4 linked regions of the Macaca mulatta genome follow. The protein of the gene in region 1 interacts with the protein of each later gene in a pairwise test. Links are inferred from orthologs where the notes say so. Each region holds a gene or a part of one and is shown in the gene's direction. Other genes may lie near its edges.

Region 1 (7,764 bases):
ATGTGAATCTGTTTTTTTTTTAACTTGTTATCTGTTCTACTTACCCCTCCCCACAGATTATAATCATGAGAGCAGGTGCCTCACCTGTCTTGTTCACCACTATTATCCTAGTACCTGGAACAGTGCCTGAAAATAGTAGGCGCTCAATAAACAGCTGTTGAAGGAGTTAACGGATTATCACCGAAGGTGTTAACATAGAGAAGAAATGCAAAGAAACCAGAGGTGCTTTAGTAACACAAAGGAAATCATGTGGAAGCCTGTTTTCTTTTTTCCTATTTGTCGAAAGCAGCCAAGTATCACCTTCATTTGCATGTACAGGGGTGCTGTTAAAACCTACACTATTACAGTGTTAGAAACTACACTGACAGTCACCAAATTATTGTCACCTGCAGCCCAAACCACACTTGCTAAGTCTATGCTTCCCCAACAAACCACCAAACCACAACAAAAGTTGTAACTCTGCAGATTGGAAGCTGCCTTGGGAACTGACTGCTACCTCCTCTGGCTAGCAGAGTAAACTTGGGTGCATCCTTACCTCCATTTAGGCTGAATGACACCAGCTAGCCCAACTAATTACCTAACATGGGTAAAGCTAAAGCTCTTGGCTTTATATGCTATCCCACTGAAAACTTACAGCCACCCTGCAAGGCAGTTATTATAGTTCATAGAAGAAGTTTAGAAGGGCTAAAATACTTGTCCAAAATAATTCACCCAAGTGCATATAACTAAGAATTGAAGCTCTACCAAGCTGGAACCCAGGTGAAGTGTTGAGCTGGGAGGAATGCAGGTAGCATTTCCATCAGATTACAACAATTTTTAATTGCCATATATGCAAATTACATTCTGACTAGAATACCAGCCCCTTTTTTGTGACCCCTTGCTAAAATAGCAACCATCCTTTAAATCACAGATCAAACAACTTCAGAAAGCGTTCCCCGATCATGCTAGTCAAACTTGATTAATCCTTTGGAAGCTACAAAGCCTTGTACCTTCTTCCACAGTATTTAGCACACTCTGCCTTGCATGTCTTACATGCAAATGTCATGTCAACACTACTCTATGATCCTCCAAGATACGCTTATCTCCCATGTCACCTCATTCATGTGCAGCACATAGTACTCAAAATATGTTTTTTGAATGAACGAGTAAATGAATAAAATGGAACCCGAAATACTACATATGAGGTAAATCACCTTCTAAGTTTAGGAATTATTACCATTTGACTATTTTCTAATGGATGATGAACTTATAATCGGTATAGAAACACAGAATCGAGTGTGATAGCCTTTGCTGGTTACCTAATCTACCCAGTTATTTCAGGAGACCCAGAAATTCCTTCTACAGCCTGCATTTTGCAATTATTTAAAATATTTATTGGCCAGGCACAGTGGCTCATGCCTATAATCCCAGCACTTTGGCAGGCCGAGGCGAATGGATCACCTGAGGTCAGGAGTTAGAGACCAGACTGGCCAACATGGCGAAACCCCATCTCTCCTAAAATACAAAAATTAGCCGGGCATGGTGGCAGTCACCTGTAATACCAGCTACTCAGGAGGCTGAGGCAGGAGAATCGCTTGAACCTGGGAGGCAGAGGTCATGCCATTGCACTCCAGCCTCAGCGACAGAGTGAGACTCCATCTCGAAAAAAATAAAAAATAAAAAATATTTATTTAGCACTTAGCCCTACCAATCGACGGGCCCCGCATCCACAGATTCAACCAACCACAGATGAATATATTTCGGGAAAAATAAAACCCACAAATTTTAAAACTATAGTATGACAACTATTTCCATAGCATCTACATTGTATTAGATATTACAAGTGATCTAGAGATGATTTAAAGTATGTCGGAGTATGCGCATAGGTTACATGGAAACACTAGGCCATTTGATACAAGGTACTTGAGCATCACAGGTTTTAGTATCCACGGGGTATCTGGGAAGGACTACCTTAGTTTGCTCAAGGAATGTCTGACTTGAGATTTGAAGAAATCATACCTGGCAAAAGCCATGGTGGGGGGTCACTCTAGGCCGAAGGAATATCAAAGGAAAAGGCTCAAGAAATAACTTGGCATATTTGAGGAAGAGAAAGGAGGCCAATGAGGAGGGTATCTGGCAAGGAAACAAGTGGTAGGAGAAACAGGAGAGGTAGCAAGAGCCAAAACACGTAGCATCTTGCAGGCCAGGATAAGACAACTGGATTTTAAACTAAGAGCAATGGAAAACCAAGGAGAGTTTAAAGCAGGAGCATGGCATGATTTTTTTTTTTTTTTTTAAAGATTATTTGCGTTGCTGGATGCAGAGCTGGGAGGCCAGTCAAGAGGAAACTGCAGTCACTCAACTGAAAGGTGATGGTGACTTGGACAGGGGTTGTGGCCATGGAAATGAAGAGAAGTGGACAAATTTGAAATACAGTCTGAGGCTGAACTGACTGGACTTGCTGACGGGACTGGATGTGTGCACATAAGAAAAAGGTGGACTTTGTTTTATAACAAGTATTGGGACTGGAAAAACGGAGGAAAGCATAGATTTGAAGGGGAAGACCATGAGCTCTGCACTGTCCACGACAAATGTAAGAAGCCTATCCAATATCCACGAGGGGAAGTCAGGTGGGATCCCACTGTGGAACTCTGGGCGAGACTCAGCTGAAGTTATCATTCGGGAGTCAGCACACTGCATCACTCTACGTCCTGGTCCGTCCGTCCGTTTTCCTGGGACACAAATAACTGCCTTCTCCGCGTTCAACCCTGAACATCTGCGCTGTATCCTCTGGACAACGGGGAGCGGGAAAGAAGCTACGCAGGAGCTTGGGTCGGGCGAGGCTCACGGGAAGCCGCTCTGGGTGCAGAGGACAAAGGCGCAGGGACAGCGGGGAGGGCCGGCCGCGGCCTGCCGTGCTGCCCCCACTGCGCGGAACGCGCGCAGCAACCTCCTCCCGGCCTCCGCGTCTGGACTCCCGCCGCCCCTGCCTCTGGGCCTCCTCCGCCCACCGGCAGAGTCTCCCGCGAAGCCCGCTGGGCCACGCTCTCACCCTCCTCCTCCTCACGCCGGGTCTTGCTCTTGGCCTTGGACTTCTGGCTGCGCGTTTCGCGTCCCCGCGGCTCCCCGCCGGCCGCGCGCTTCCGAGCCATATTGCTTGTCGGGGAAAAATCCACTTCGCGAGTGACGCACCAGGCCGCGATGCGTTAGAACGCAGGCCCCGCCCCGAGGCGGGCGCGTCTGGCCACGCCCCTTCGTTGGAGGCCTAGTCACGCCCCCAAAGGAAGCTCCGCCCCATACCCGTGGCCACTAAAAAACCGCGGGAAGCAGGCAAGAGCACAGCAGGTTTCTATTTCCGGTGTATTGTAGCATCACGTTTCCGGAGCTCGGCGTTGCTCTTGTGTTCTCGCGAGAGGCGGGAAAGGGCGCAGGGTTTGAAACATGGCGGACGACGTAGACCAGGTGAGTGAATTTTAAGGCGGTGGCTCGGCGCCGCTTCTTGTACTAAACTGCTTTTTCCAAACGCAGGAAAAATGGCCAGTCGCGCCTCTTCTTTCCAAGTCACACGGCCTAATCCGCCCCATCCTTTCCGTAAACACCCCTGTCCGAATTTTGCTGCAGGCCCTGAGGTCTTTTCCGTTAGAAGGCCACCTGATGACTATTCATCACACTCTTCGCTTTGTTTTTTTAAATCTGTAAATTATTATGCGTGCCTACCTCACGGAGCTGTCAGGATTCCAATAGAAAGCCAGATAATAAAGTTAGGAGTTGTTATTACTGAGCACAACAATTATTTACTCATTCAGCAGAGAGAGTGAACATCAGCTTTGTATGGTTAGACACTGTTCTAAGAGCCAGGGACACTGACATCGATATATAAGTGATCCTTGCCATGACTTGGAGCTTATATTCGCGAGGAGAACAGATAAATATAAATATGTAAGATTTATAGGAACTGTGATGTGCTATGAAGGAAACAAGGAACTGGTATGCAGAATAACAGATGGTCCTAGAAGCTTTTTCACCTGGTCTTTTTCTTCCTCAAATATCTTTGGAGATCATGCTACAACTTAAACTTTCTACTGAAATCTCACCTCCTCAGAGAGGACTTCTGCCCAAATAGCACTCCCCCTACTCTGCTTACCCTGCCTCATTTTTCTTCATAGAACGTTATTTTTTCATATTAAATGTATGCATCTTTGTTTAATGTGTATCTCTCCTGACTAGAATGTAAGTGCCATAACAGTAGGCATTTTGTTTTGTTCATTCTTTTGTCCTTGGGGTTTAGAACAGTGCTGGAAATACTCAACAAATATTTGAGTGAATGAGTTAGATGATCAGAGGAGGCCTCTTTTAAAAGCCAATGTATAAAGCTACAGGATGAAAAAGAACAGAAAGTGGGCATCCCAGACAGAGGCTTAGGTAGCAGTAGAGCTCTGTCATGTGCATATTCTTACAGTATTATAATTATTCATATGCCTATCCACATTAGAATGAGCTCCTTGAGGGTGGAGATTGTGACTTCTGTATCATTGTAATCTAACAGTTGGTTATCTGATCCTTTAACAAACACCTGTTGAACTGAGGGACATAGGGACCAGTTGAGTTAGGTTATTTTTTTTTCTCTCATCGGGCCTTTTGAATCTTTAGCGCCTGTTACGAATTCAGTTACCTTCCTCCACTGGCCTTGTGTACTTACTAAAGAAGCTCTCCTTGAATCATCTAACTCTTTAATGGCTGCAACCCTCCCTTCCATGTGGGTGACCCCAAGTCATCCTAGCCCTGACCTCTAAAACCAGTGTTTCCAGCAGTTCTTTAATAATATAATATTAGTAGGAATCTTTTCTTTTCTTTTTTTTTTTTTGGATGGAGTCTCACTCTATCGCCCAGGCTGGAGTGCAGTGGCGTGATCTCAGTTCACTGCAACCTCTGCCTCCTGGTTCAAGCGATTCTCCTGTCTCAGCCTCCCAAGTAGCTGGGACTACAGGCACGTGCCAGCACGCCTGGCTAATTTTTGTATTTTTAGTAGAGACGGGGTTCACCATGTTGGCCAGGCTGGTCTCAAACTCCTAACCTCAGGTGATCTGCCTTTCTCAGCCTCCCAAAGTGCTGGAATTCAGGCCTGAGCCACCACGCCCAGCCAAAAGGAACCGTTTCTAAGTATTAATATTTTCTGCTTTCCTGGCACTGTTTTAAATGCATTAACTAGTTTCATCCTCATAAGAATCCAGAAGGAAGGTTGTGGCTTTCTCAATTACAAATGAAGAATCTGAGAATTACAGATGGCATGATTTTTAATCTCAGTTCATAAGTGTCAGGTCACAGCCAGGAGTTGAACCCAGACTGCCTGACTCCAAAGTCAGTGCTTGCTTGCTTGTTGGCACCATCTTGGCTCACTGCAACCTCCACCTCCCAGGCTCAGGCAATCCTCCCACCTCAGCCTCGGAGTAGCTGGGACTACAGGCACATGCCACCATGCCCGGCTAAGCCAGTGCTTTGAACCAGTGTTCTATTCTGGCTACTAAATATTCATCTTACTGGCCAGTTGGCAGCCTAACCTCAACCTGTGCTGAATTCATAATCTTCCCATAAACCTACACCTCTACTTGGCATTCTGACTAGTATATGGTAGGCATTAAGTGAGTGTTTTTCCTATGATTACATAATATTTGAGATAAAGCTAAAGTTCCTAAGACCCTATACCCTGAAATCGGGTCAGGCAGTTTGGATTTTGAGGGAACAAAGTATAGTCATGATTATTTTGCTGTGTAACTCCTTCTTATGTATGCGTGTTTTAATCTACATTTATATAGCACATACTATGTGAAAAGTTCTGTTCTAAGCCTTCATATATGTCACTTAAGCCTCATAAAAACAGTATTAGGTAGACACTATTATCTCCATTTTACAGATTAGGAGACTGAGGCAGAAAAAGGTTAAATAACTTGCACATGGTCATACAGCATAGCAGTGATTTAAGCACTACTTTATCTCTAGTACTATATTACTAAACCTGTTTCTGTTATCAGCAACAAACTACCAACACTGTAGAGGAGCCCCTGGATCTTATCAGGCTCAGCCTAGATGAGCGAATTTATGTGAAGATGAGAAATGACCGAGAGCTTCGAGGCAGATTACATGTGAGTAAATTTATCAAGTTACCTTGAAATCAGATTCCTTCCCACCCCCACTCCCTTGAAATGTAAAACCTGTCCAGAGTGAAAAGGTATTTTGAAGGAAGAGAGGGTAGTGGAAAATCACCCATGTTTCCATAAGCCAGATGAAGCTGCATGTATTCACATTTTTAATATTTTTTCTTTTAATAGAAATATGTTTATTATAGAACATTTTTATTCCCTTCATTTTCCCTTCTGTTTATTTGTAAATAACATTTATTTGTCCTCCATTCTTAAATGTTTTTTAAACTTAAAACACAAATATGTGTTTTATTATGAAAAGTTAAACAGCACAAAAATATATAGAGTAAAAAGTGAAATCCCATTTCCTCTACTGGTAACCACTATTAAAAATTGGATTATCTTGGCCGGGTGCAGTGGCTCATCCCTGTAATCTCAGCACTTTGGGAGGCTGGGGCAGGAGGATCACTTGAGGCCAGGAGTTCTCTGTGTTGCCCGCCTAGGCAACATAGAGAGATCCTGTCTCTACAAAAAATAAAAATTAAAAAATTAAAAATTGGGTTACTGTTTCTGTATGTTTACACACATACATTCATATATGTACATATGCACATACTTGCACTATGTACACCCTACCTCTACAAAACATGGATCCTGCTATACACGTTTTTCAGCACCTTTTTTTTTTTCACTTAATCTTTCTTCGAGATTATTGATCATTAGTGCATTTAATTCTCATTTGTTCTTTTTAATGACTACCTAGGATTCTGTATATGATAGTGATCGATTTTTTTTTCATTTCTTGCTACAAATACTTACATAAATACTTGCAGTAAGCATTTTTTTTTACATATTTATTTGTGCATATCTGCAAAATATCTGTAGAATTGGTCCCTTGAAGTAATCCCATTTGTTCATAGAGTACCCTCAAGGTTTTGCCTCTCCTTAATGACTTGTTGCTTTCCTAAGTGTGTTGTTTTTAGTGTTGCTACTTTACCCTAAAGTGATTAAAAATAGCTAACATTTATTGAGCATTAGTTATAGACCAGCTACTATTATTCTAAGCATTTTGTGTGTGATATCTGATTTAATCTTTATAACAACCCTGTGATGATACATACTAATTATTCCTGCTTTGCACTGTAGGAAGCTCAGGCTCAGAAAGGTACAGTCACTTGCCAGTAAAGAGAGAGCTAGAATTTGAATCTAGATTGTCTGACCTGAGCCCCACTCTTAAGTACTGTGGTTCCACCTTCCACAAAACCTAACGATAAAGAACCTCTGGGCTTGGAAAGGAAATAGGGACCCAGGGAGACAATCTACAGTTGGCCTTAAAGGAAGAGAGACTCCAGGAAAGGAATAGTGGTAACTTCGGGAATACAAATGGAATTGAGCTTAATTACTTAAGTCTGTGGCCCTTGGAGGCTTCTTCAGTTCCCTGTGTAAACTTGATGGTCTGTATCCTAAATGGCCCCAACTTTCTGTTTGTTTTGTGCCCCTCAGTTATACATTTTTGCTCTTGTTAGCGTGCCCTGCTTAAAGCAGTTCCCCACGTGGCTGACAAGTGACTTTTATTTTGATGTGAGCAGGTGAACCATGTAACACGTTGTTAGAAGTAAACTTGAGTTCTGAACAAAGTCCCAGCTTT
Region 2 (7,886 bases), on another chromosome or scaffold:
GGTGCTGTGACAGATCCAAGGACACAGTGGATTCTGCAGGTACCTGACTTGTTCACTCAGCACTACTGGGGATCGTTACAAGCTCTACTTCAGATCCCACTTCTGATACCATCTGTTAAAGGAAAAACTTCAGCAGAATTAAATTTCAAGGCAGCCCCCAGAATCACAGCAGATTCAGAGAGACTCCAGGGATGCCTCATGGTCACAACAAATTTATAGACAAAAGGAGAGAAGTGACGTACAAGAATTGGAAGTGAGGTACAGAAACAGCTGGATTGGATACAGGTTGGCATCTGCCTTATTTGAACACAGTTTGAACACTCAGCAGTGTATGAGTGGTTGAAACATGGCTGCTGGGATTGGCCAAGTTTCAACTATTGTTACAGGTGAATACTCCTAAGTTAGGTTTTCAAAGTTATCTCCCTATTAACTTAGGTTACAGTTCGTCCACAAGGATTCAAATATAGAAGTACAGAGCCCTCCTCAGGCCTTACTTAATTCACTTTAACACTACCAACAAACTAGTCCAGGTTAAAGGAAAAAAAATGTTTTTTGAGATGGAGTCTTGCTCTGCCACCCAGGCTAGAGTGCAGTGGCACAATCGTGGCTCACTGTAGCCTCCACTTCTGAGGCTCAAATGATCCTCTCACCTCAGCCTCCCAAGTAGTTGGGATCACAGGCAAGTGCCACTATGCTGGACTAATTTTTTTATTTATTTTTTGGTAGAGATGGGGGGTCTCACTATGTTGCACAGGCTGATCTCAAAGAGGTTAAAAATTTAATGCTACCCTAACTGTTGAGAGGATAGAAACAAAACTACCCCACACATCCTGGCTTCCAGCCTCAGCAGTCCTACTGCAAAGGTATTATACCATACTGAGTTAACAAGAGGATTTACTTGAATTTCACTAGTTCTCTCATGGCCAAATTATTGTTCTTGAGTTTAATGCCTCAGGTCTCTCATCTGTAAAGTGGGTCAATAACAGTAACTTTGGGGGGGCGGGGTGCCGTGGCTCACGCCTGTAATCCCAGCACTTTGGGAGGCTGAGGCAGGCAGATCACGAGGTCAGGAGATCGAGACCACAGTGAAACCCCGTCTCTACTAAAAATACAAAAAATTAGCCAGGGGCTGTGGTGGGCGCCTGTAGTCCCAGCTACTGGGGAGGCTGAGGCAGGAGAATGGGGAGAACCCGGGAGGTGGAGCTTGCAGTGAGCCGAGATGGCGCCACTGCACTCCAGCCGGGATGACAGAGCGAGACACCGTATCAAAAATAATAATAATAATAATAATAATAATAGTAACTTCACAAACTTGCAAAGAGTAAATGAAGAGATGATACAGGTAAAGTGCCTGGAAGAGAGCCTGGCACAGAACACTCGTTAACTTTAGCTACCATTATGACGATTTTGGAAGTCTTTCTTCCTCTTACTGCTATACTCTTTAGTGCCTAACGAAGAAACAAAACATCAATTGCAATTTTGGTGGATTAATTCCTTTCCAGTCAGTGCCCCAGCTCCTTACCGATGTACCCAGCTCTTCACCCTGCCCTTATTAACCGTTTATGCTTATCTGCTCACTTGACACGTGGGGACGTGGCTTGTGCACCAGGCCAGTATAAAGACCTAGATCGACGTATGCTACACGTTTGTGTAGACCCGAGATGTGAACAGTCCCGGGAGATGGGGACAGCGTGGCCAGATCAGAACATCATAACCGAGTTGGGAGACTTCTGAGCTCCAGATGAGTGGTCTCTATGTCCTGTGCATCCTTCGGCAAGGGACTCCATGTATTCGTCTTTCTCTCTTTTTCTTTCCTTTTTAAATTTATTTTTAAATATTTGAGACAATGTTTCGCTCTTGTTGCCCAGGCTGGAGTGCAGTGGCGTGATCTCGGCTCACTGCAACCTCCGCCTCCTGGGTTCAAGCAATTTTCCTGCCTCAGCCTCCCGAGTAGCTGGGATTACAGGCATGCGCCACCACGCCAGGCTAATTTTGCATTTTTAGTAGCGATGGGGTTTCTCCATGTTGGTCAGGCTGGTCTCGAATTCCCGAGGTCAGGTGATTTGCCCGCCACGGCCTCCAAAGTGCTGGGATTACAGGCGTGAACCACTTCGCCCGGTGTATTACTCTTTCTCTATTGCAATTCCCCTGTCTTGATAAATCGGCTCTGTCTAAGCAGCAGGCACGGTGAACCCATTGGGCAGTTACAACAGGGTTGTAACAGGGTTGCTGCTGTAATGGCCCAGTGGGTTCACCTTGCCTGTTGCCTAGACAGAGCTGATTTATCAAGATGGAAATTGTCATAGAAAAACAGTAATTCACGCAGGGCCGCTGTGCAGGAGACTAGAGTTTTTGTTGTTGTTGTTGTTTTGAGACGGAGTCTCGCTATGTCGCCCAGGCTGGAGTGCAGTGGCACGATCTTGGCTCACTGCAAGCTCCGCCTCTCGGGTTCACCCCATTCTCCCGCTTCAACCTTCCGCGTAGCTGGGACTACAGGCGCCTGCCACCACGCCCGGCTAATTTTGTTTTTGTATTTTTAGTAGAGACGGGGTTTCACTGTATTAGCCAGGCTGGTCTCGATCTCCTGACCTGGTGATCTGCCAGCCTCGGCCTCCCACAGTGCTGGGATTACAAGCATGAGCCACTGCTCCCAGCCTAGAGTTTTATTTTTACTCAAATCAGTTTTCCAGAGCATTCAGGGATCAAAGTTTTCTTTTTTTCTTTTCTTTTCTTTTTTTTTTTTTTTGAGACAGTCTCGCTCTGTTGCCCAGGCTGGAGTGCAGTAGCGCGATCTCGGCTCACTGCAAGCTCCGCCTCCCGGGTTCACACCATTCTCCTGCCTCAGCCTCCCGAGAGTAGCTGGAACTACAGGCGCCTGCCACCACACCCGGCTAATTTTTTGTATTTTTAGTAGAGACGGGGTTTCACCTTGTTAGCCAGAATGGTCTGGATCTCCTGACCTCGTGATCCGCCCGTCTCAGCCTCCCAAAGTGTTGGGATTACAGGCGTGAGCCACCGTGCCCGGCCAGGGATCAAAGTTTTTAAGGATAATTTGGAAGGTTGGGGAAGGCCAGTGAGTGAAGAGTGTTGATTGGTTGGGTGGGGGATGAAATCACAGGGAGTTGAAGCTATCCTCTTGCCCTGAGTCAGTTCCTGGGTTGCGGGGGAGGGGGCACAAGATCACATAGCCAGTTTATGCATCTGGTGGTGCCAGCTGATCCATCAAGTGTAGGGTCTGCAACATATCTTAAGCACCGATCTTAAGTGCAGTTTAGGGAGGGTCAGAATCTTGTGGCCTCCAGCTGTAATTTCTAAATTACAAAATTTCTAATCTTTGGCTGATTTGTTAGTCCTACAAAGGCAGTCCAGCCCCCAGGCAAGAAGGAAGTTTGTTTTGGAAAAAGGCTGTCATCATCTTTGTTTTAAAACTTCAAACTGTAAACTAAGTTCCTCCCAAAGTTAGTTCAGCCTATACGAGGAATGAACAAGGACAGCTTGGAGGTTAGAAACAACATGGATTTGGGTAGGTCAGATTGCTTTCAGTGTCTCAGTTACAATTTTGCAATGGTGATTTCACTGTGACAATCTTGAGGGACTTCCCACAGAACCCTCAGTTCTTGAAGCCCAAAGCCTCAGAAATGGCGAGGAAGAACGAGAGGGGTGTTAAACTCCACACGGTCTTAGCCGACCTCCGACGCTTTTCCTAGAATGTCTCATCTCTATGGTCGACGGCGTTCAGATTCCGGGGCAGACTAAGTTGTTCTTCCGGGGTGAGTGCCTCTTCCAGGGCGAGCGGTGTGGTGCACGCATTGCTGTGTTCTAACTCCCTCAGGGGCTGTGTTGTCGCACTTTCTGCTGCTATGAGCTTCCTCAAAAGTTTCCCGCCGCCTGGGCCGGCGGAGGGGCTCCTGCGGCAACAACCAGACACCGAGGCTGTGCTGAACGGGAAGGGCCTCGGCACTGGTACCCTTTACATCGCTGAGAGGTAGGGTTCCCGGTCCCCAGCGCCGGCCTCCTGCGTGCCACCCTCTTCCTTGCTGGAGCAGGCGGTGCGAAGGAGCCGGGCAAGGGGCGGCCTGGAGGGCTGCTGGGAGCGGGGGCGCGTGTCCGGGACGCCTCAGGGATACCTGTACCGGCTGGAAGGCTCGATTTTTCTAGCACTCTTCCCGAGTCTTCCATTCTCTATTTTCTCGGGCCGGAATTTCCCCTCATGGATTGTGCTTTTGTTTTTTTGTTTTGTTTTTTTAAACTCGCCTTTTACTGGAGGTCTGGCGCGTGCGTTGCCCTTAACGCACGGTCTCGTTTTAAGAGTCTGAAGTGTGCCTGTCTTTCCGGATGAACAGATGCAGGAGATGTTCCCCTCTGCAGGATACGTAGTTTCAGAGCCGAGTGTGGAGGACTTTGAAAGTTTGGTTACACAATATAGATTTTTTCTGTAGGAATAGTAAGGAGAGGAACATCCTTAACTCGACACAGACAGGGGTCATATGCAGAGGTACCAGACTCCCGTTTTGGGGTCCTGGAAGGAGTTGCCCTTTTATTTGGCCACCTGGAGCACTTTGGTATTTTCACAGTCAGATAGATCTACCTTAAATATTGTGGTTGTAGAACCGAGGTCCCTGTTTCCTTGACATTTAGTTCTCTTTATTTTGAAGCCTGTAATGACACATTTAATCTTTCCTGCCCTTCAGATATGTGTTGCTTCCCCTTTTGCTCCATCACTTGTCGACAGCCAGAGAAAATTCTCTAAGAACTCATGTGATTACTTTGGAACCACCTGTAAAATCCGGGATAATCTCCCTATGTTGCTGTCCACTGGTAACCTTAATTAGGTTTGCGAAGTCCCTTTTGCTGTGTAATATAACATATTCACACGCATGACACCAGAAACTGAAGGTCGTGGGGGCCAAAATTTTGCCTACCACAGAATCCAGAGCACAAAAACTGTAAAGAACTGTTGCTTTAAAGGGAAATTTAGACATTGAACAAGGCTTAGGCTTCAGGCCAGTCACTGAGATAGGACATATGGGTGGTAGGAAAAGCAAGATTGAGGTGAGAGGCAGATAATGAGTTTGGTCAGGACATGTGTGGAGTAGTTGTACATACGAGTGTGTGTTGGGCCGGGCGCGGTGGCTCACACCTGTAATCCCAGCACTTTGGGAAGCTGAGGCAGGCGGATCGCCCCAGAAGTTCGAGATTAGCCTGGGTAACATGGCGAAACCCAGTCTCTACAAAAAATACAAAAGTTAGCCAGGCATGGTGGCGGCCTGTAGTCCTAGCTACTCAGGAAACTGAGATGGGAGGATCACCTGAGTCCAGAAGGTTGAGGCACGGTGAGCCGTGATTGTGCCCCTGCACTCCAGCCTAAGTGACAGAGTGAGACCTTGTCTCAAAAAAAAAAAAAAAAAAAAAAAAAAGAGTGTGTGTCTTGGGAAAGTGGTATTAAAGATAGATGTTTGGAAGTCGTTGAAGTATTAGTGTATACTCATGGAAATGGATTAACTATCTCAGAAGAGAAGAGGACCAAGTGTAGAACCCTAGGGACACACCTTTGGGTGGGTCATAGAAGAAGAGACTTGAGAAAGGAGGAAGGAGCAGTCAAAACAAAATATGAAGAGCGTATATTGAGTATTGACAAGGAAATCTTTGATATTTGGGGAAAGCAGTTTCTTTGAAGTGATGGAAGATGGAGCACAGATACATTCCTAGTTCCCAGGCATTCCTTTTTTATTCATGACATTTCTGTATGTTGACACTTCGTTCAATATTATAACTCCTTTTGAGGGACAGTCCTGTATTGGTTTTTGCATTTTGAAAAATTTCAAACCTACGGTCCGGTGCGGTGGCTCACGCCTGTAATTCCAGCACTTTGGGAGGCGGAGGCGGGCAGATCACCTGAGGACAGGAGTTCAAGACCAGCCTGGCCAACATGGTGAAACCTCATCTCTACTAAAATACAAAAATTAGCCGGGTGTGGTGGCAGGCATCTGTAATCTCAGCTACTTGGGAGGCTGAGACAGAAGAATTGCTTGAACCCGAGAGGCGGAGGTTGTAGTGAGCCGAGATCATGCCATTGCACTCCAGCCTGGGTGACAGAGACTGTCTCAAAAAAAAAAAAAGAAAAATTTCAAACCTAAAGAAAAGTTGTAAGTGTTATTACTACCCATACACCCTTCACAAAGATTTATTAGTTAACATTTTGCCATGTTTGTCTGTTTTTCTTTTTTTTCTGAGCCATTTGAGAATTGCAGACATGTTTTCTACTTCCTGTTCAGAAGAACAGGGACATTATCTTGTATAACCACAATACAATTCTCACACCAAGGAAGTATAACTCTTTTTAAGTTCTTACCAGTTTTTTAAAAATTCTTAGCCTGGACAAGGTGGCTCACACCTGTAAATTCCTGCTCTTTGGAAGGCCAAGGTGAGCAGATCGCTTGAGCCCAGGAGTTGTTGACCAGCCTGGGCAACATGACAAAACCCTGTCTCTACAAAGAATACAAAATTGCAAAAATTAGCCGGTCATGGTTGCATGTACCTGTAGTCGCAGCTACTATGGGGGGCTGAGGTGGGAGGATTACTTAAGCCTGGGAAGTTGAGGCTACAGTGAGCTGTGATCATGCCACTACATTCCAGCCTGGGTGACACAGTGAAACCTTGTCTCTTAAAAAAATTAAAAATTATTTGTTTCAGCTTTTCACAAACAAATCTCTTATGTTTCTTCTTTAAGATTATTTTTTATTTATTTATTTTTTTTTGAGACAGAGCCTCGCTCTGTTGCCCAGGCTGGAGTGCAGTGGTGCGATTTCGGCTCACTGCAACCTCCACCTCCTGGGTTCAAGTGATTCTCCTGCCTCAGCCTCCCAAGTAGCTGGGATTACAGACGTGCTCCACCACGCCCAGCCAATTTTTGTATTTTTAGTAGAGACGGGGTTTCACCATGTTGGTCAAGCTGGTCTCGAACTCCTGACCTCATGATCCATCCGCCTCGGCCTCCCAAAGTGCTGGAATTACAGGCATGAGCCGCTGCGGCAGGCCAAGATCATTTTTTGTGTGTGAAACATAAATACAAAAAAAAGAGTATAAATACACACACATACTGTATACATGTATATACAGTCCAGCAGTTCTTCCTCTGAGGCATTGAGGGAGAATGCCCAGAGATAACAAAGCTGGAGAAGAAGACAGTCATGTTCATGAGTTTGGCTTATAGCCTTTAGGCTTTGGTGAAACTATTTAGTTTGAGGCAGAGAGGGACAGCAACAGATTAGGTTTTGGCTAGACTTGGTTTTAGTCTCTCAGATTTGTGTTGAAAGAGTTAGAATCTCCGACTTATTTCAGAGCTTAGTTTTTTATAGGAAGTTGCATTTTCTTTTTTTTTTTTTGAAACAGAATTTCACTCTTGTTGCCCAGGCTGGAGTGCAATGGTAAAATCTCGGCTCAGTGCAACCTCTGCCTCCCTAGTTCAAGAGATTCTCCTGCCTCAGCCTCCTGAGTAGCTGGGATTATAGGCATGTGCCACCACGCCCAGCTAATTTTGTATTTTTAGTAGAGATGGGGTTTCTGCATGTTGGTCAGACTGGTCTCAAACTCCCGACCTCAGGTGATCCGTCCACCTCGGTCTCCCAAGATTACAGGCATTAGCCACTGCATCTGGCCAGGAAGTTGAATTTTTATCCAAATAAGGAAGATACAGAGGCATGAATAATATAAAATCATTTAAAACAGGTAAAATAGGTTATCACATTAAAATTAGGTAATTTAAACATAAATTTTTTTTGTATCTCATTCCAAAATTAATTTTAAACCAAATAATTAAGTTAACCTAAATTCAAGACCTCTCGTAGCTTCCTGTCCTGTTTTTCATCCCATGCTGGGAATAAAGG
Region 3 (7,786 bases), on another chromosome or scaffold:
CAGTGAGCCGAGATCATGCCACTGCACTCCAGCCTGGGCGACAGAGCCAGACTCCGTCTCAAAAAAAAAAAAAAAAAAAAAAAAAAATAAGTGGGGCATGGTGGCTTACACCTGTAATCCCAGAACTCTGGGAGGCCAAGTAGGGAGGATCGCTTGAGCCCAGGAGTTCGAGATCAGCCTGGGCAACATGGTGAAGCCCCAGCTCTACAAAAGAAAGAAAAAAAAGCAGGGGAAAAGAAAAAGTTAGCTGGGTGTGGTAGTGAGTGACTGTAGTCTCAGCTACTTGGGAGGCTGGGGCAGCAGGATCACTTGAGCCCAGGAGGTCAAGGCTGAAGTGAGCTATGATTGTGCCACCGCACTCCAGCCTGGGTGACAGAGCAAGACCCTATCTCAAAAAAAAGATAAATAAATAAAACAAAAGAGGAGTCCGGGTGAGGTGGCTCACGTCAGTAATCCCAGCACTTTGGGAAGCCGAGGCAGGCGAATCACGAGGTCGGGAGTTCAAGACCAGACTGACCAACATGGTGAAACGCTGTCCCTACTAAAAATACAAAAAATTAGCCGGGCGTGGTGGCTCAAGCCTGTAATCCTAGCTGCTCGGGAGGCTGAGGTAGGAGAATAGCTTGAACCTGGGACTTGGAGGTTGCAGCAAGCTGAGATCGCACCACTGCACACCAGCCTGGGTGACAGTATGATACTCCGTCTCCAAAAAAAAAGAAAAAGAAAAAAAAAAAAAAGAAAGAAAAAGAGAAAAGAAAAAATAGAAGATCTAGGTACATATCCATGCAGTAAATGTGTTGCTCCTTTTAACTGGCTGCATAGTATTTCTTAGCAAGGAAGTGCCACCACTGATTAAGCCAGGACTCTACAGAGGGACATGTGAATGGGATCCAGTCCTTTTGCCATGATATGCATTATAATGCAATAAATGTGTGTGCACATGCTTCCTCCTGTATGTGTGCGAGTGCACCTTGGATAAATCTCTACAAGCACCTGGCTCACCGGACCTGTAGGTTTGATTTTGAGAGATATTAGAAAGGTTGTTTTCTGAAACGTGCCAGGAGGGTGCTGGTTACAACCTTGGCCACTCAACGTCTTCACGGACTATCTGGGGCGCCCCCCTGAGGAGCTGTCTGGAACTGCAGACTGCAGCTACACGCAGCTACACGCAGCTACACGCAGCTACACGCAGCTACACGCAGCTACACGCAGCTACACGCAGCAAGGATTTCGGGTAGCCGGGTAACTCTAACATAGCCCTACACGTGATTCCTTCCAGAACCTGAGCCAGGACGTTCAGTTTTTCAAATTCACCCTGGAGGCTCCAGAGACCTAGAGTTTCCATTTATTATTCACTTACATGGCGAAACCCCATCTTTTTTTTTTTTTCCCCTTTTGAGAGGGAGTCTCTCTCTGTTGTTCAGCCTGGAGTGCAATGGCAGGATTTCGGCTCACTGCAACCTCTGCCTACCCACCACCACACCCGGTTGATTTTTTGTATTTAGTAGAGACGGGGGGGGTCTCACCATGTTGGTCAGGCTGGTCTCGAACTCCTGACCTCAGGTGATCCACCCGTCTTGGCCTACCAAAGTGCTGGGATTACAAGCATGAGCCACCGCGCCTGGCCTCTCTATCTTTTTAAAGTAATGATAATTTAGATGACATTTAGACGAATTTTTTTTTTTTTTGAGAGGGAGTCTCACTCTGTTGCCCAGGCTGGGGTGTGGTGGCGCGATCTCTGCTCACTGTAACCTCTGCCTCCCGGGTTCAAGCAGTTATCTGCTTTAGCCTCCTGAGTAGCTGGGATTACAGGCGCCCGCCACCACGCCCTGCTATTTTTCGTATTTTTAGTAGACATGGGGTTTCACCATGTTGGCCAGGCTGGTCTTGAACTCCTGGCCTCGTGATCCACCTGCCTCGGCCCCCAAAGCGCTGGGATTACAGGTGTGAGCCACCGCACCCAGCCTAGATGAATTCTTTAAAATAAACTTACATACATTTATTTAAAAGTTAATGTTACATGATGAACGGTGTACATGACAAATCAGTATCCCCAGTCATGAAAAATGGCAATGGAATGGTTTCTATCTCTTGGGCGCTAGTATTCACACTTAGGTTTATTTTATTTTATTTATTTATTTATTCATTTTGAGTCTGAGTCTCGCTCTGTCGCCTAGGCTGGAATGCAGTGGCGCGATCTCGGCTCACTGCACGCTCTGCCTCCCGGGTTCACGCCATTCTCCTGCCTCAGACTCCCGTGTAGTTGAGACTACAGGCGCCCGCCAACACGCCCGGCTAGTTTTTTTTTTATTTTTAGTAGAGACAGGGTTTCATAGTCTTAGCCAGGATGGTCTCGATTTCCTGACCTCATGACCCGCCCACCTCGGTCTCCCAAAATGCTGGGATTACAGGCATGAGCCACCGCGCCCGGCCCCGCATTTAGTCTTAATGATAATCTGGTAGATAGGTGCTATTATATTACTACCTTTTACAGAGAGGAAACTGAACCACAGAGAACTAAGTAAGCGCCTACTGGCGCTGAACTGGCAAGAGGCAGATTCGGGGTTTGAACCCCCCCTAAAGACGGGTGCCACACGCCTTTTGATAGGAAGTAAATCAAAAATAAAGACAAGGAAGGCCGAGCGTGGTGGCTCACGCCTGTAATCCCAACACTTTGGGAGGTAGAGGTGGGCGGATCACGAGATCAGGAGTTCGAAACCAGCCTGGCCAACATGGTGAAACCCCATCGGTACTAAAAATACAAAAAATTAGCTGGGCATGGTGGCGGGCACCTGTAATCCCAGCTACTCGGGAGGCTGAGGCAGAAGAATTGTTTGAACCTGGGAGGCAGAGGTTGCAGTGAGCCAAGATCAAGCTACTACACTCCAGCCCAGGTGACAGTGCAAGACTCCGTCTCAATTAAAAACACACACACACACACACACGGAAAACCCGGGGCCTGGACCCAACGCCTCACACCTATAATCCCAGAACTTTGGGAGGTCGATGGAGGATCTCTTAAACCCAGGTGTTCAAGACCAGCCTGGGCAACATCGCGAGACCCCGTCTCTACAGAAAACAAAAAACAAAAAAAAAAAAACCCTAAAAATTGGCCGGTTGTGGTGGCGCGTGTCTGTGGTCCCAGCTACTCAGGAGGCTGAGGTGGGAGGATCGCTTGAGGGCAGGAGCTCGAGGCTGCAGTGAGCCGCGATGGCGTTACTGCACTCCAGCCTGGGCGTGCAGATCCGAGCGAGACCTTGTCTCTAACGGAAAAGAGAGAGAGAGAGAGAGAGAGAGAGAGAGAAAGGAAAACAAGGAAGGAAGGAAGGAAGGAAAGAAGGAAAGAAAGAAGGAAGGAAGGAAGGAAGGAAGGAAGGCAGGCAGGCAGGCAGACAGGCAGACCCAGCGAGGTAGACAATTTTCCCTAGATCCTGTGGCCGCCAGACCACGAGGCAGGCGCTGTGCGTCGTTAAAAGAATAGCAGGTGGTGGCGCGCAGCCCCGCCAGGAGACGCCCGGCGAGGAAACCAGGAGATGGAAGAGACAGTGAGAAGGGGGACCAGGCTGTGCGTCCCCGCCCGATGCCCCACTCCTCGCCGACGGGCGCCGGGCACCTGCGGGAAGGGCGGGAGAATCGCCGCTCCTTCCCCGCCGCGCCCTCTCCGCCCTCTCCCCGCCTCCTTTTCGGGCGTCCCGAGGCCTCTCCCCAACCGACAACCGAGACCCCGCAGGCCACGCAGCCCTGGCGCCGAGGCCCCCCGACGGCGGAGGCGCCCGCGGGTCTCCTACAGCCAAGGTAAGGCAGGAATCTTCCGGACCCGGCCGCGGACCCCCGGGCTTCCCGGAAGCGCAGTGTGCGGGTGGCATCACCGTACCCGGAGCCCCTGCGCGCCCCGGACATCCCCACCCCGAGGGACCCCCTACGGAGGCGACCCGGTGGCCGAGGTGAGCGCTCCGGCAGCAGCGACGGGGAGGGGTGTCCACCCCATCCCCGGTGCGGGCCGGGACGCGCGGGTCTGGAACTCGGGGTTCAGACTCCCCGCGACTCGGACCACGCGGCTGAGCGCGCCCAGGGCCGCGTGCCCCCGCCCCGCGGCCATGCTGGCAGCAGTGGTGGCCGCGCAGCTCGGCGACCGCAGGCGTGGGCGGGGGCTGGGGAGCGGCCCTCCGCGGTCCCTACCGCCCGAGGCCAGGGCCCGGGGACTTTTATTGTGACAAGGCGGGCGCCCGGCTCTGCTTAGTCATGGTGACCTGCGCGCGCTCCGCGCCTCCCCCACGCGCAGCGATGGAGGCGCCGAGGCTCGGCAGTGGAGGCGGAGCCGGAGCGCGGCCATGGCGGGGTGAGTGAGGCGGGATGTACCCGGGCTGCGGGCATCGCGGGCCGCGAGCGCCCCTGCGGTCGTGCCCGGAGACCAGGAAACCGGGCGCCACGGCTCAGGGAGCCTCCGAGTTCCCCGCCAGGACTCGGAGGGCCAGGAGGGCGAGGCCTGGGTCCAATCTTTTTGTTGGACGGCGCAACTCTCGGGGTGGCCCGGGAGCGGCGGAAACCGAGCGAGAGAACCCGGAGGCGTGGAGCAGACGGAGGCCTGGGGCCTCCGAGGCGTTGGGGGGCTCAATCTGCGTTCTGGGATTGGCAGCCGAGACGCCGCGGCGGGGTCACTTCCTCGCCTCTCTGGGCCTGGTGGCGGCTCAGGAGGGGCATGCGCAGTCGCCCACTTGTCGCTTTGTAGGGTGGGGGAAGTGCCCGGTGCCCAAGGGGCATCGTTGACCGATTGGCCAAAGACCAAGACGCAAGCCCAGGGCCTTGGCACCGGAGGGGGGGCCGAGTGGCACCCAGGGAGGGTGGAGAAGGCCGCTCTGGCAGGCACGGTGGCACGGGCATTTAGCCAACCACCCGTGTACTGACCCCTGCGCAGTGCCAGGCCCCAGGCGGGAGGCACAGGAGAGGGTTGGCCCGACGCCAACCTACATAGGGTTCCCTGCCATTTGAGGCGCTGGGGCCGGGGACGAGAGACAGTCGATCAACAGACAAGCAAAGGAGGTCATTTCAGTTCCTGACAAGCTCAGTGATGACAATAGAACAGGGAAGAGGGGACTCTGAGTGGAGCCCCAGAAAGAGGGGAGTGAGAACTTGCAGATCCACTTGTGGGGAACCACTTGGAGATCCCCCACTCCTTTCAAAACATAACTCATGTCTGCGCACAGCAGCCTATGCCTGTAATCCCAGCATTTTGGGAGGTCGAGGAGGGGGATCACTTGAGACCAGGAGGTCGAGACCACCCTGGCCAATATGGTGAAACCCCATCTCTACTAAAAATACAAAAAATTAGCCCATGGTGGTGGCTGGTGCCTGTAATCCCAGCTGCTCAGGAGGCCAAGGTATGAGAATATCCTTTTTTTTTTTTTTTGAGACCAAGTCTTGTTCTGTTGCCCAAGCTGGAGTGCAGTGGCGCGATCTCTGCTCACTGCAAGCTCCGCCTCCCGGGTTCACACCATTCTCCTGCCTCAGCCTCCCATGTAGCTGGGACTACAGGCGCCCGCCGCCATGCCCGGCTAATTTTTTGTATTTTTTAGTAGAGACGAGGTTTCACCGTGTTAGCCAGAATGGTCTCCATCTCCTGACCTCGTGATCCGCCCACCTCGGCCTCCCAAAGTGCTGGGATTACAGGCGTGAGCCACCGCGCGGGACTGAGAATATTTTGAACCTGGAAGGCAGAGGTTGCAGTGAGCCAAGATCGCACCACTGTACTCCAGCCTGGGCAACAGAGCGAGACTCTGTCTCGAAAAACAAAACACAAAACACATAACTCATCTCCTGGCCCTCCAGGCTCCAGGGGTTTCCATGAAACCCTTCCTTAAGTCCTTAGCTCTCACTGCACTCCTTCTCAATTCTCCAGATTGACTGTCTCAGCCTCTGAGCCACTGCACTTGCTATTTCCTCTGCCTGGAAAACTACTCCACAGCCTCCCACTTTATGATAATTTTCATCCTTGTCTCAGCTCTAACCTCACCTTCTCAAAGAAGCTTGGCCTGTCAGATTTTTAAAAACTGCACCCAGGGCCAGGCACGGTGGCTTACGCCTGTAATGCCAGCACTTTGGGAGGCCAAGGCAGGCGGATCACTTGAGGTCAGGAGTTTGAGACCAGCCTGGCCAACATGGTGAAACCCAGTCTCTACTAAAAATACAAAAACTAGCTGGGCGTGGTGGTGGGCGCCTGTAGTCCTAGCTACTCGGGAGGCTGAGGCAGGAGGATCGCTTGAACCCGGGAGGCAGAGGTTGCAGTGAGCCAAGATCGAGCCACTGCATTCCAGCCTGGGTGACAGAGTGAGACTCCATCTCAAAAAAAAAAAAAAAAAAAAACTGCACCTGATTCTCACATTGTCACAATGCTGTTGTAATTTTCTTCATGAAGCTGATTTTCCAGGTCTTGCTTATTTTAGTTTATGATTGTTCCTCCCCGCAGGTGTCAGCTCCAGCAGGTAGGATTTTTGTGTGTTTTGCTCACTGCTGTGTCTTCAGCACCCAGATCAGTGCCTGGCATACAGTAGGTGCCCAACAAATGGTGAGGCGAATGAAGGAATGAGCCCGACATGCTCTAGAAAGGGAAAGGCCACCAGATTACTGAAACAGAGTGATCAAAGGGAAGAGGTGGCAGGGGCTAATTGCGTAGGGCTTTGCAGGCTGTTGAGGAGTTCAGTTTTACTAGGTACTGTGGGAGGCGTTGGAGGATCCAGAGCAGGGGAGAGACATGACCTCATCTATGTTTTAAGATGGGCTCTTGGGCTGGTCAGGTCAGGGAGATGTTTGCAAATTTGCAAATGCACTCTGCTTCACCTACTCTGCAGGAAAACTGACCTAGGAATTGCTTTATCTTACAAAAGGAGACCCTGCAGGTGCTGGCCCAACCCCAACCCGTGCCCCCTGCCCTGTGCTCTCTCCCCTCCAGGCCCCTGAGTGCCAGAGGTGGTGGTGTTGCTTATCTTCTGGAACCCCATGCAGCCAGATCCCAAGCCTAGCAGGGCTGGGGCCTGCAGCCGATTCCTGCCCCTGCGGTCACAGTGCCCTGAGGGGTCAGGGGACGCGGTGATGTATGCCTCCACTGAGTGCAAGGCGGAGGTGACGCCCTCCCAGCATGGCAACCGCACCTTCAGCTATACCCTGGAGGATCATACCAAACAGGCGTTCGGCATCATGAACGAGTTGCGGCTCAGCCAGCAGCTGTGTGACGTCACACTGCAGGTCAAGTACCAGGACGCGCCTGCCGCCCAGTTCATGGCCCACAAGGTGGTGCTAGCCTCATCCAGCCCCGTCTTCAAGGCCATGTTCACCAATGGGCTGCGGGAGCAGGGCATGGAGGTGGTGTCCATTGAGGGTATCCACCCCAAGGTCATGGAACGCCTCATCGAATTCGCCTACACGGCCTCCATCTCCATGGGCGAGAAGTGTGTCCTTCACGTCATGAACGGCGCTGTCATGTACCAGATCGACAGCGTTGTCCGTGCCTGCAGTGACTTCCTAGTGCAGCAGCTGGACCCCAGCAATGCCATCGGCATCGCCAACTTCGCCGAGCAGATTGGCTGTGTGGAGTTGCACCAGCGTGCCCGGGAGTATATCTACATGCATTTCGGGGAGGTGAGCGGGGAGGTGGGGCTGGGGGCAGTGTCAGGAGAAGGACCAGGGATGGATGAGTGCTCATCACTGTTTCCCCTTGAGATGTGAAGGCAGGAACCTGGAGGAAAAGGAGGTTCTGGGCTGGGCACGGTGGTGTAGTCCCCACAGTTTGGGG
Region 4 (7,689 bases), on another chromosome or scaffold:
CCACCAGCGGGTAGCTGCGCCACATGACAGGAAGCAGTGGCGGGGCCCAGCCAGCCCAGGAGCCACGGGCCAGAGCCGGGCCGCACAGGGCGGTAGGACTGAAAAAGCTGTAACATACATGGACTGAAACACGCCCCCGCCCCCAACATGCCCCGCCCCTGCTCCTCGGGAGGTGAAAAGCAGCAGCCCTTTTTGGGACCCAGACCTCGGGGCTCCCCAAGCCAGGGCGGTGACACACTGTAACACCCTCTATGGGGCTCTGTGGTTCCTGGTGTCTCTGAGCTTTCGGCCACCACTGTGTTCCCCTTGTCCAGATGCTGGTGCCCAGAGCAGAAGCCACTTGCGGTATGTCTGGTCCAGCTGCTGCCTTGCACAGAGCCAAAGCCTGTGCCGGCGCCTGGAGCTGCCCGTGCCGGGGCTTGGAGCTGCCCACCCGCTGCAGCAGCCAGCATATCTGGCTGTGTGTAGTGGTCGGACCCTGTGCTCACTCACACACCCCTCACGGCTCCACACCTGGCACGCCTTTGGCAGGCGTGGTATCCGGGCCCGTAGTGCGAGCTGAGCTCAGCCTCCAGACTGAGCGGGCAGAACGAGCCCAGCAGGCACAAGCAAAAGTCAAGCACAGGCGCTCCTAGCCACAGAGGTTTCCGCATGGCAAAGTGACACCCTAAGGTTCTTGTGACAGCTGGGACTATAGGCGCACCCACTACACCCAGCTAATTTCTTAAAACATTTTTGGCCAGGCTCGGTGGCTCATGCCTGTAACCCCAGCACTTTGGGAGGCTGAGGAGGGCAGATCACCTGAGGTCGGGAGTTCAAGACCAGCCTGATCAACATGGAGAAACCCGGTCTCTACTAAAAATACAAAAATCAGCCAGGTGTGGTGGCACATACCTGTAATCCCAGCTACTTGGGAGGCTGAGGCAGAAGAATCACTTGAACCCGGGAGATGGAGGTTGTGGTGAGCCGAGATCGGGCCATTGCACTCCAGCCTGGGCAACAAAAGTGAAACTCCGTCTCAAAAAAAAAAAAAAATTTAGAGATGGGGTCTCACTATGTTGCCAAGGCTGGTCTCAAACTCCTGAGCTTGAACAGTCCTCTTGCCTTGGTCTCCCAAAGTGTTGGGATTACAGATGTGAGCCACCCTGCCCAGTCAAGAAGCCTAACTAACTGAGCTGCTTCTCTGTGCCAGGTGCTTTCACACATTAATGAAAGTCACTCAAATCTCCCAGTTCTCTGAGAAAAACCTTATTTTTTGTTTTCATAATAAGGAAATTGAGGCTGAGGAAGAAAGTGATTTTTCCAAGGCTATACAGAATGACTTTTAAAAAATGTAAATCAGGGGCCGAGAGCGGTGGCTCAAGCCTGTAATCCCAGCACTTTGGGAGGCTGAGACGGGCGGATCACGAGGTCAGGAGATCGAGACCATCCTGGCTAACACGGTGAAACCCCGTCTCTACTAAAAAATACAAAAAAACTAGCCGGGCGAGGTGGCGGGCACCTGTAGTCCCAGCTACTTGGGAGGCTGAGGCAGGAGAATGGTGTGAACCTGGGAGGTGGAGCTTGCAGTGAGCTGAGATCCGGCCACTGCACTCCAGCCTGGGCGACAGAGCGAGACTCCGTCTCAAAAAAAAAAAAAAAAAAATGTAAATCAGGTAGGGCACAGTGGCTTGTGCCTGTAGTCCCAGCTATTCTTGAGGCTTGGGCAGGAGGATCACTTGAGCCCAGGAAGTTGAGGCTGCAGTGAGCTATGATCACATCACTGCACTCCAGCCTGGGTGACACGGTGAGACCCTGTCTCTACAAGTAAATCAAATCACGTTGCTCCCTTTCAATAGCCTATCATAGCACTTCTAGTACTAGTTGAGAAGACGGAAGCACAGAGAAGATAGCTAACTTGCCCAGTCACAGCCAGGAGCAGATTTGAGCCTAGGCACTGTATCCGGAGGCTGCACTCCTAACCATGAAATCTAAACTCCTTACCTTGGCTCACAAAGTCCTATATGCTCTGGCTCCTGCTTCCTCTCTGGTCTCTTGTTATACCACTCTCCCCAGCTTCCCTGGCCTTTCCTGTGTTCCTAAATTGTCAAGGTCATTTCCCCCAGGTTCTTTGCATGAATTGTGAAAAGAAAAAAATTGACTTTTAATTGGTGATTTGGCTTTTATTTGCTAAATTTGTTAAATTTGGGTTTTATTTGCAACTCTAGAATTGGGCAACATCTCATTCTATAAAACGGAATGAGTGTTCAAATAAGCTGAGCAGAGGAGATTAGTTTTACAGACAGAAAAGGGCTGAGGAAAGCAGAAACAGAAAACAAAAAGCAGATTGGTTGTTTCAAAGTTACTTTCCTTGTAACTTTGAAGGCTAAAGCAGAGGGGACTTCCTTATCCTGCCAGCTAAAACTGGATGGTTTGGAGATTTAAGTATCTCTCACTCTTCTGATTTATCTGAATATCAGATAAGCAACTTAGTTTCCACTTGGTGATGTGGAACTTTAGCATGAGTGACTCCATTTTGGTTTTGTCTGTTGGGCTTGGTGCAGGAGCCCTGTCCAAACCAATGGCTGCCTTTTTTTTTTTTTTTTTCTTTGAGACGGAGTCTTGCTCTGTTGCCCAGGCTAGAATGAAGTGGTACAATCTGAGCTCACTGCAGCCTCCACTTCCTGGGTTCAGGCAATTCTCCTGCCTCAGCCTCCCGAGTAGGTGGGACCAGAGGTGTACACTACCACAGTGGGCTAATTTTTTCTATTTTTTGTAGAGACAGGGTCTCCCTATGTTGCCCAGACCAGTCTCGAACTCCTGGGCTCCAATGATCCTCCCGCTTTCTCCTTCCAAAGCGCTGGGATTACAGGTGTGGGCCTCCGCGCCCAGCCCTGCCTCCTATAAATTTTATTTAACAAACTGTTCCCTCTAATTGCAATGCTCCGCCCATAGTTTTCACAAGCTTGGCGTCATGTCACTAATCCCAACTCAAATGTCACCTTCTCAGGACACCCCTGACAATCCAATAAAAGACCACCTAGTCACTACCACGTCACACTTTCAATCTTCTAAAGAACTTTTTCCCTATTTTTCTTGTTTGTTTTCCTAAGACTCTCTCCCCTGCAGCGCCATCAGCTCGGGGAGCCACTTGATCTTGGTCACTGCTCTATGCCGGAGCCTAGGAAGCAGCCTGGCCCAGGGTGCCCGTTCAAGAACGCGTGCGGAGTGAATGAACGACTAGTGAAGGAGACTTCAATGACGCAGGCCGGCATTTGCTGAGCGCGAGCCCCGCGCCGCGAAGCATTCTGGGAATCGTAGTTTCTCCGTGCCGCGATGACTCGCAGAGCACAGACGCACTCTGCGCCGGGAGGACAGAGCGGCCCGGTCGCCGGCGTGGTTTCTCCGTCCTGCTGCAGCCGGCGGGAGGCAGCCCGTCCAGGCGCCCGCTAGCTTCGGCGGCGACCCAGACGGGGAAAGCGGAAGGAATGTCGCGTGGTGGGTCCGGGTCGGCGGTGCAGGGAGCCGCGGGGCGGAATGTGGGGTATGCCAGGACCTCCGGAAGGAGGTGCCGGAGCCCAGGAAGCGTTTTCTTCCCCATTTACCGAGTATAGCTCATTTCCCCAGACCCGCTCCCGCTGCTCTGAGTAAGGGGTGCTCATCCCGTTTTACCGGTAGCTTAGCTAGCTTGGAGAAGCTAAGTGGTTTGCTAAGTGGTCTCCCTCCTAGAAGGTGGCAGAGCCTGTCCTAGAACCCGGGCCTGACTCGAGGTCTAGTGATTGCTCTTTGCAGTCGCAGCAGCAACCCCATACCTTTGCTTGATCGCAGATTCGTCAGGCTGCAGCCTGGTGGCTGGTCGTTAGGCCCTGCCCAAGGACTTAGCTCCCAGCCCCGCTCATCACTGGCCTAGTCTAGCTTGCCACGCTCAGTGCCACACTGCACAGCCCTGGACGGGATGCTGAGTGAGGTCGTAAAGAGAGAGCGTTGCACCCCCGTTAACTCAGGGTCTGAAAATAAGGGATAGGTAAGACCTAGTGCACTAATACAATATCGGGGTACGTTGAAATCAAAGGAGAGTACCTTCAGTGGAGTGTGATTCTGGTAGCTTTGTTTCGCCTGTAGTTTAATAAATGTGGAAACAGGTTCAGAGACATTAACTTTTCTAGGTTTACATAATTAGGGGTGGAGTGGGGATTCCAGCCTGGGTTTCTCTACCTTCAAAACCTATGTACCTTATATACTACCGGTTGGGTTTCCCCCCCCCCCCAATTCATTATCTAGATTTATTTTCTTTCTTTTTTTTTCTGAGAGTCTCGCTCTGTCACCCAGGCTGGAGTGCAGTGGCACAATCTTGGCTCACTGTAACCTCTGCCTCCTGGGTTCAAGCGATTCTCCTGCTTCAGCCTCCCAAGTAACAGATTACAGGTGCTCCCATGCCCAGGTAATTTTTGTATTTTTAGTGGATACTGGGTTTCATCATGTTGGCCAGGTGGGTCTTGAACTCCTGACCTCAGGTGATCTACTCCCCTTGGCCTCCCAAAATCCTGGGATTACAGGCGTCAGCCCCTGCGCCCAGCCTCATTACCTAAATTTCTACTTACCTAACAGCTGCATGGTATAGACCAATAGTTCCCAGAGTGTGGGCCCCTGACCAGCAGCATCAGCATCACCTGGGAATATGTTCGAAATGACTCTCTCTGGCCTCACCTCAGACCTCCTGAGTCAAACTGGGAGTGGGGCCCAGCAAGCTGAGATAACAGGCCCCTCAGATGATTCTGATACACACTGTATGTATCAGATGATTCTGATAATGTATGAGAACTACTGGTGTCAAGCACCGAGTCTCAAACCTTCACGTGTATCTAATTCACATACGGGGTCATGTTGAAATGCAGAGTCTGTTTCCAGTCAGTGTGGAAGAATGGCAGTGAGCCACTCAGTGAAGGAGTGGATTATCTCAGAACAGGCCTGGGGAGAGACCTGAGATTATGCATTTCTAACCAGTACCCCTCAGCACTTTGGAGTTACCTGGGGAGCTTTTTTTCTTCTTCTTTCTTTTTTTTCTTTTTTTTTTTTTTTTTTTGAGATGGAGTCACTCCGTCGCCCAGGCTGGAGTGCAGTGACGTGATCTCGGCTCACTGCAAGCTCTGCCTCCCATGTCCACGCCATTCTCCTGCCTTAGTCTCCCCAGTAGCTGGGACTACAGGTGCCGCCACCATGCCCGGCTAATTTTTTTGTATTTTTAGTAGAGATAGGGTTTCACCGTGTTAGCCAGGATGGTCTCGATCTGACCTCATGATCCGCCCACCTCGGCCTCCCAAAGTGCTGGGATTACAGGCGTGAGCCACTGCGCCCGGCTGGAAACTTTTACAAAATAGGAAATCTGGGCCCACCCCTCTAACCAAATGAATCAGAATCTGGGGTGGGGAAGGTCGAGTTAAAAACTCGCCAGATGATTCTAATGTACACCTGGTGTGAGGTTTGGAGCCAGGCGGCTATGGATTTTTTTTTTTTTTTTTTTTTTTGAGACAGAGTCTCTCTCATGCAGGCTGGAGTGCGGTGGCATGATCTTGGCTCACTGCAGCCTCCACCTCCCGGATTCAAGCGATTCTCCTGCCTCAGCCTCCGGAGCAGCTGGGATTATAGGTGCACACTACCATGCCCGGCTAATTTTTGTATTTTTAGTAGAGACAGGGTTTTACCATGTTGGCCAGGCTGGTCTTGAATTCCTGGCCTCCGGCGATCCACCCGACTCAGCCTCACAAAATGCTGGGATTACAGGTGGGAGCCACCATGCCTGGCCTACGGCTACGGATTTGAATTCCAGCAATTCCACTTATTTACTGTGACCTTGGTCAAGTTACCTCTCCTAGCCGTATTTTTTGTTTTTAAAAGTTATTGATTTATTTAAATTAATGTATTAGGAATGATACTGACTTTTGTTGTTGGTCCTAATAATTTATCTTGAATTCTCAATGTAGATAATCATATAATTGACAAACAAGGACAGTGATCTTCCTTTATAATTATTGTTTCTCTAAATTCTTTCCCTTCCCTTCTTTCTGTAATCGTTTTTTTGAACGTTGCATTGACCATTACCTACGTTTTACTGTTGATTAGAAGCCATAAAAGGCATCCTTTTCTTGTCCCTGGCTCAATAGAAATGATCATCATTTTCTTTATTTTTTGAGACAGAGTCTTGCTCTTGTTGTCCAGGCTGGAGTGCAATGGCGCGATCTTGGCTCATTGCAATCTGCCTCCCGGCTTCAAGCAATTCTCCTGCCTCAGCCTCCTGAGTAACTGAGATTACAGGCGTGTGCCACCACGCCCAGCTAATTTTTTGTATTTTTAGTAGAAATGGTGTTTCACCGTATTAGCCAGGCTGGTCTCAAACTGAGTGGATCTCGCTATGTTGCCCAAGCAGGTCAGCAGAACTCTTGGGCTCAAGTGAAGCTCCTCCCTCAGTCTCCTGAGTAGCTGGTACTACAGGTGTATCCCAGTGTGCCTGGCCATCCTAGCCATATTTTTCTCATTCATAAAATAAGCATAAGTAATCCTTGGCTTGCAAGTTGGTGTGAGGATTCCATGAGACATGTGCGGGAAGTATCTGTGTCCACAGATACAAAAATTGCAGAGGTGGTCTGTGCTGGGAATTTTGTTTGAGAACCTGGTGGAGGTGAGTTGGCAACTGTACCCCCTACCCTGCTATAGCTGCCATCTGTGTGCTCCTGTCCACAGCAAGCAGGCAGCTGGTGTGGAAGAATGGCACTGAGCCATTCAGTGAAGGAGCGGACCATCTCTGAGAACAGCCTGATCATCCTACTGCAGGGCCTCCAGGGCCGGGTAACCACTGTGGACCTGCGGGATGAGAGCGTGGCCCATGGACGCATAGACAATGTCGATGCTTTCATGAACATCCGCCTGGCCAAAGTCACCTACACGGACCGTTGGGGGCATCAGGTCAAGCTGGATGACCTCTTTGTGACAGGCCGCAATGTCCGCTACGTCCACATCCCAGATGACGTGAACATCACCTCGACCATTGAGCAACAGCTGCAGATTATTCATCGGGTGCGGAACTTTGGTGGCAAGGGCCAAGGCCGGTGGGAATTTCCCTCCAAAAACTATAAGTGAGGCCCTCAGCAAGCCCTGGCCCCAACTCGGCTTCCTCCAGTGTTCTCTGGAGCCAGCTCCCTGCCCTCACACCCTGTCTAGAACCCGAGAAGAGAGCAGGGCCAGGCCAGAAGCTGGTGTCCAACAGACACCACCTGTCAAAGCTGCGTTTCACAGGGTTCCACCTCCCAGACTCCCTCTGGGACCCAGAATCCTATCTGTCTGTGGCCTTGGGGTAGGTGACAATCCCCCTTTTTGATGATCTGAATCTCTGACTTATTGATCATGGAACCTGTCAAGTAGTTTTCAACTCTCCCAGTGAGGATAATTAAACATGCTCAGTCTAAGCCACCTCTAACTGTCTCCATTCCTCTTGCAGTTGTGTTCATTTTCTTGTGAAACCCAACTTGAATACAAACAGGTCCATGCCCCAGGCCTTCCCTTCTGTGTGCTGGGCTCCCAGACCGTCCTGTGTAGTCGGGGGCAGACTCAAGCTTGGCTGCACATTGGAATCACCTGTCCCACCCTCAGAGATTCATATTTCGTTGGTATGGGGTATGATCTGAGGGCTGGGAGTTTTTTAATTTCCCAGGCAAT

The links.
Region 2: the proteins of LSM3 (region 1) and CLNS1A interact in binary tests that used the Homo sapiens proteins (3 or more experiments, as listed by UniProt). The link is inferred for Macaca mulatta from reciprocal best matches to the Homo sapiens genes LSM3 and CLNS1A.
Region 3: the proteins of LSM3 (region 1) and KEAP1 interact in binary tests that used the Homo sapiens proteins (3 or more experiments, as listed by UniProt). The two-hybrid records come from large-scale screens. The link is inferred for Macaca mulatta from reciprocal best matches to the Homo sapiens genes LSM3 and KEAP1.
Region 4: the proteins of LSM3 (region 1) and LSM10 interact in binary tests that used the Homo sapiens proteins (3 or more experiments, as listed by UniProt). The link is inferred for Macaca mulatta from reciprocal best matches to the Homo sapiens genes LSM3 and LSM10.

The regions. Positions count from the first base shown.
Region 1 is NC_133407.1:152,978,488-152,986,251, forward strand, and holds the start of LSM3 (U6 snRNA-associated Sm-like protein LSm3), read left to right. Parts: upstream 1-3,367; 5' UTR 3,368-3,420; coding exon 3,421-3,441; intron 3,442-6,008; coding exon 6,009-6,119; intron 6,120-7,764. Other genes in the region: XPC (DNA repair protein complementing XP-C cells), read right to left, coding at 3,032-3,131. UniProt on the Homo sapiens protein: Plays a role in pre-mRNA splicing as component of the U4/U6-U5 tri-snRNP complex that is involved in spliceosome assembly, and as component of the precatalytic spliceosome (spliceosome B complex).
Region 2 is NC_133419.1:78,059,761-78,067,646, reverse strand, and holds the start of CLNS1A (methylosome subunit pICln), read left to right. Parts: upstream 1-3,767; 5' UTR 3,768-3,860; coding exon 3,861-3,985; intron 3,986-7,886. UniProt on the Homo sapiens protein: Involved in both the assembly of spliceosomal snRNPs and the methylation of Sm proteins.
Region 3 is NC_133424.1:11,222,913-11,230,698, reverse strand, and holds the start of KEAP1 (kelch-like ECH-associated protein 1), read left to right. Parts: upstream 1-3,505; 5' UTR 3,506-3,944; intron 3,945-4,288; exon of another isoform or gene 4,289-5,423; intron 5,424-6,301; exon of another isoform or gene 6,302-6,946; 5' UTR 6,947-6,993; coding exon 6,994-7,632; exon of another isoform or gene 7,633-7,786. UniProt on the Homo sapiens protein: Substrate-specific adapter of a BCR (BTB-CUL3-RBX1) E3 ubiquitin ligase complex that regulates the response to oxidative stress by targeting NFE2L2/NRF2 for ubiquitination.
Region 4 is NC_133406.1:204,392,025-204,399,713, forward strand, and holds LSM10 (U7 snRNA-associated Sm-like protein LSm10), read left to right. Parts: upstream 1-3,389; 5' UTR 3,390-3,477; intron 3,478-6,717; 5' UTR 6,718-6,741; coding exon 6,742-7,113; 3' UTR 7,114-7,443; downstream 7,444-7,689. UniProt on the Homo sapiens protein: Appears to function in the U7 snRNP complex that is involved in histone 3'-end processing. Increases U7 snRNA levels but not histone 3'-end pre-mRNA processing activity, when overexpressed. Required for cell cycle progression from G1 to S phases.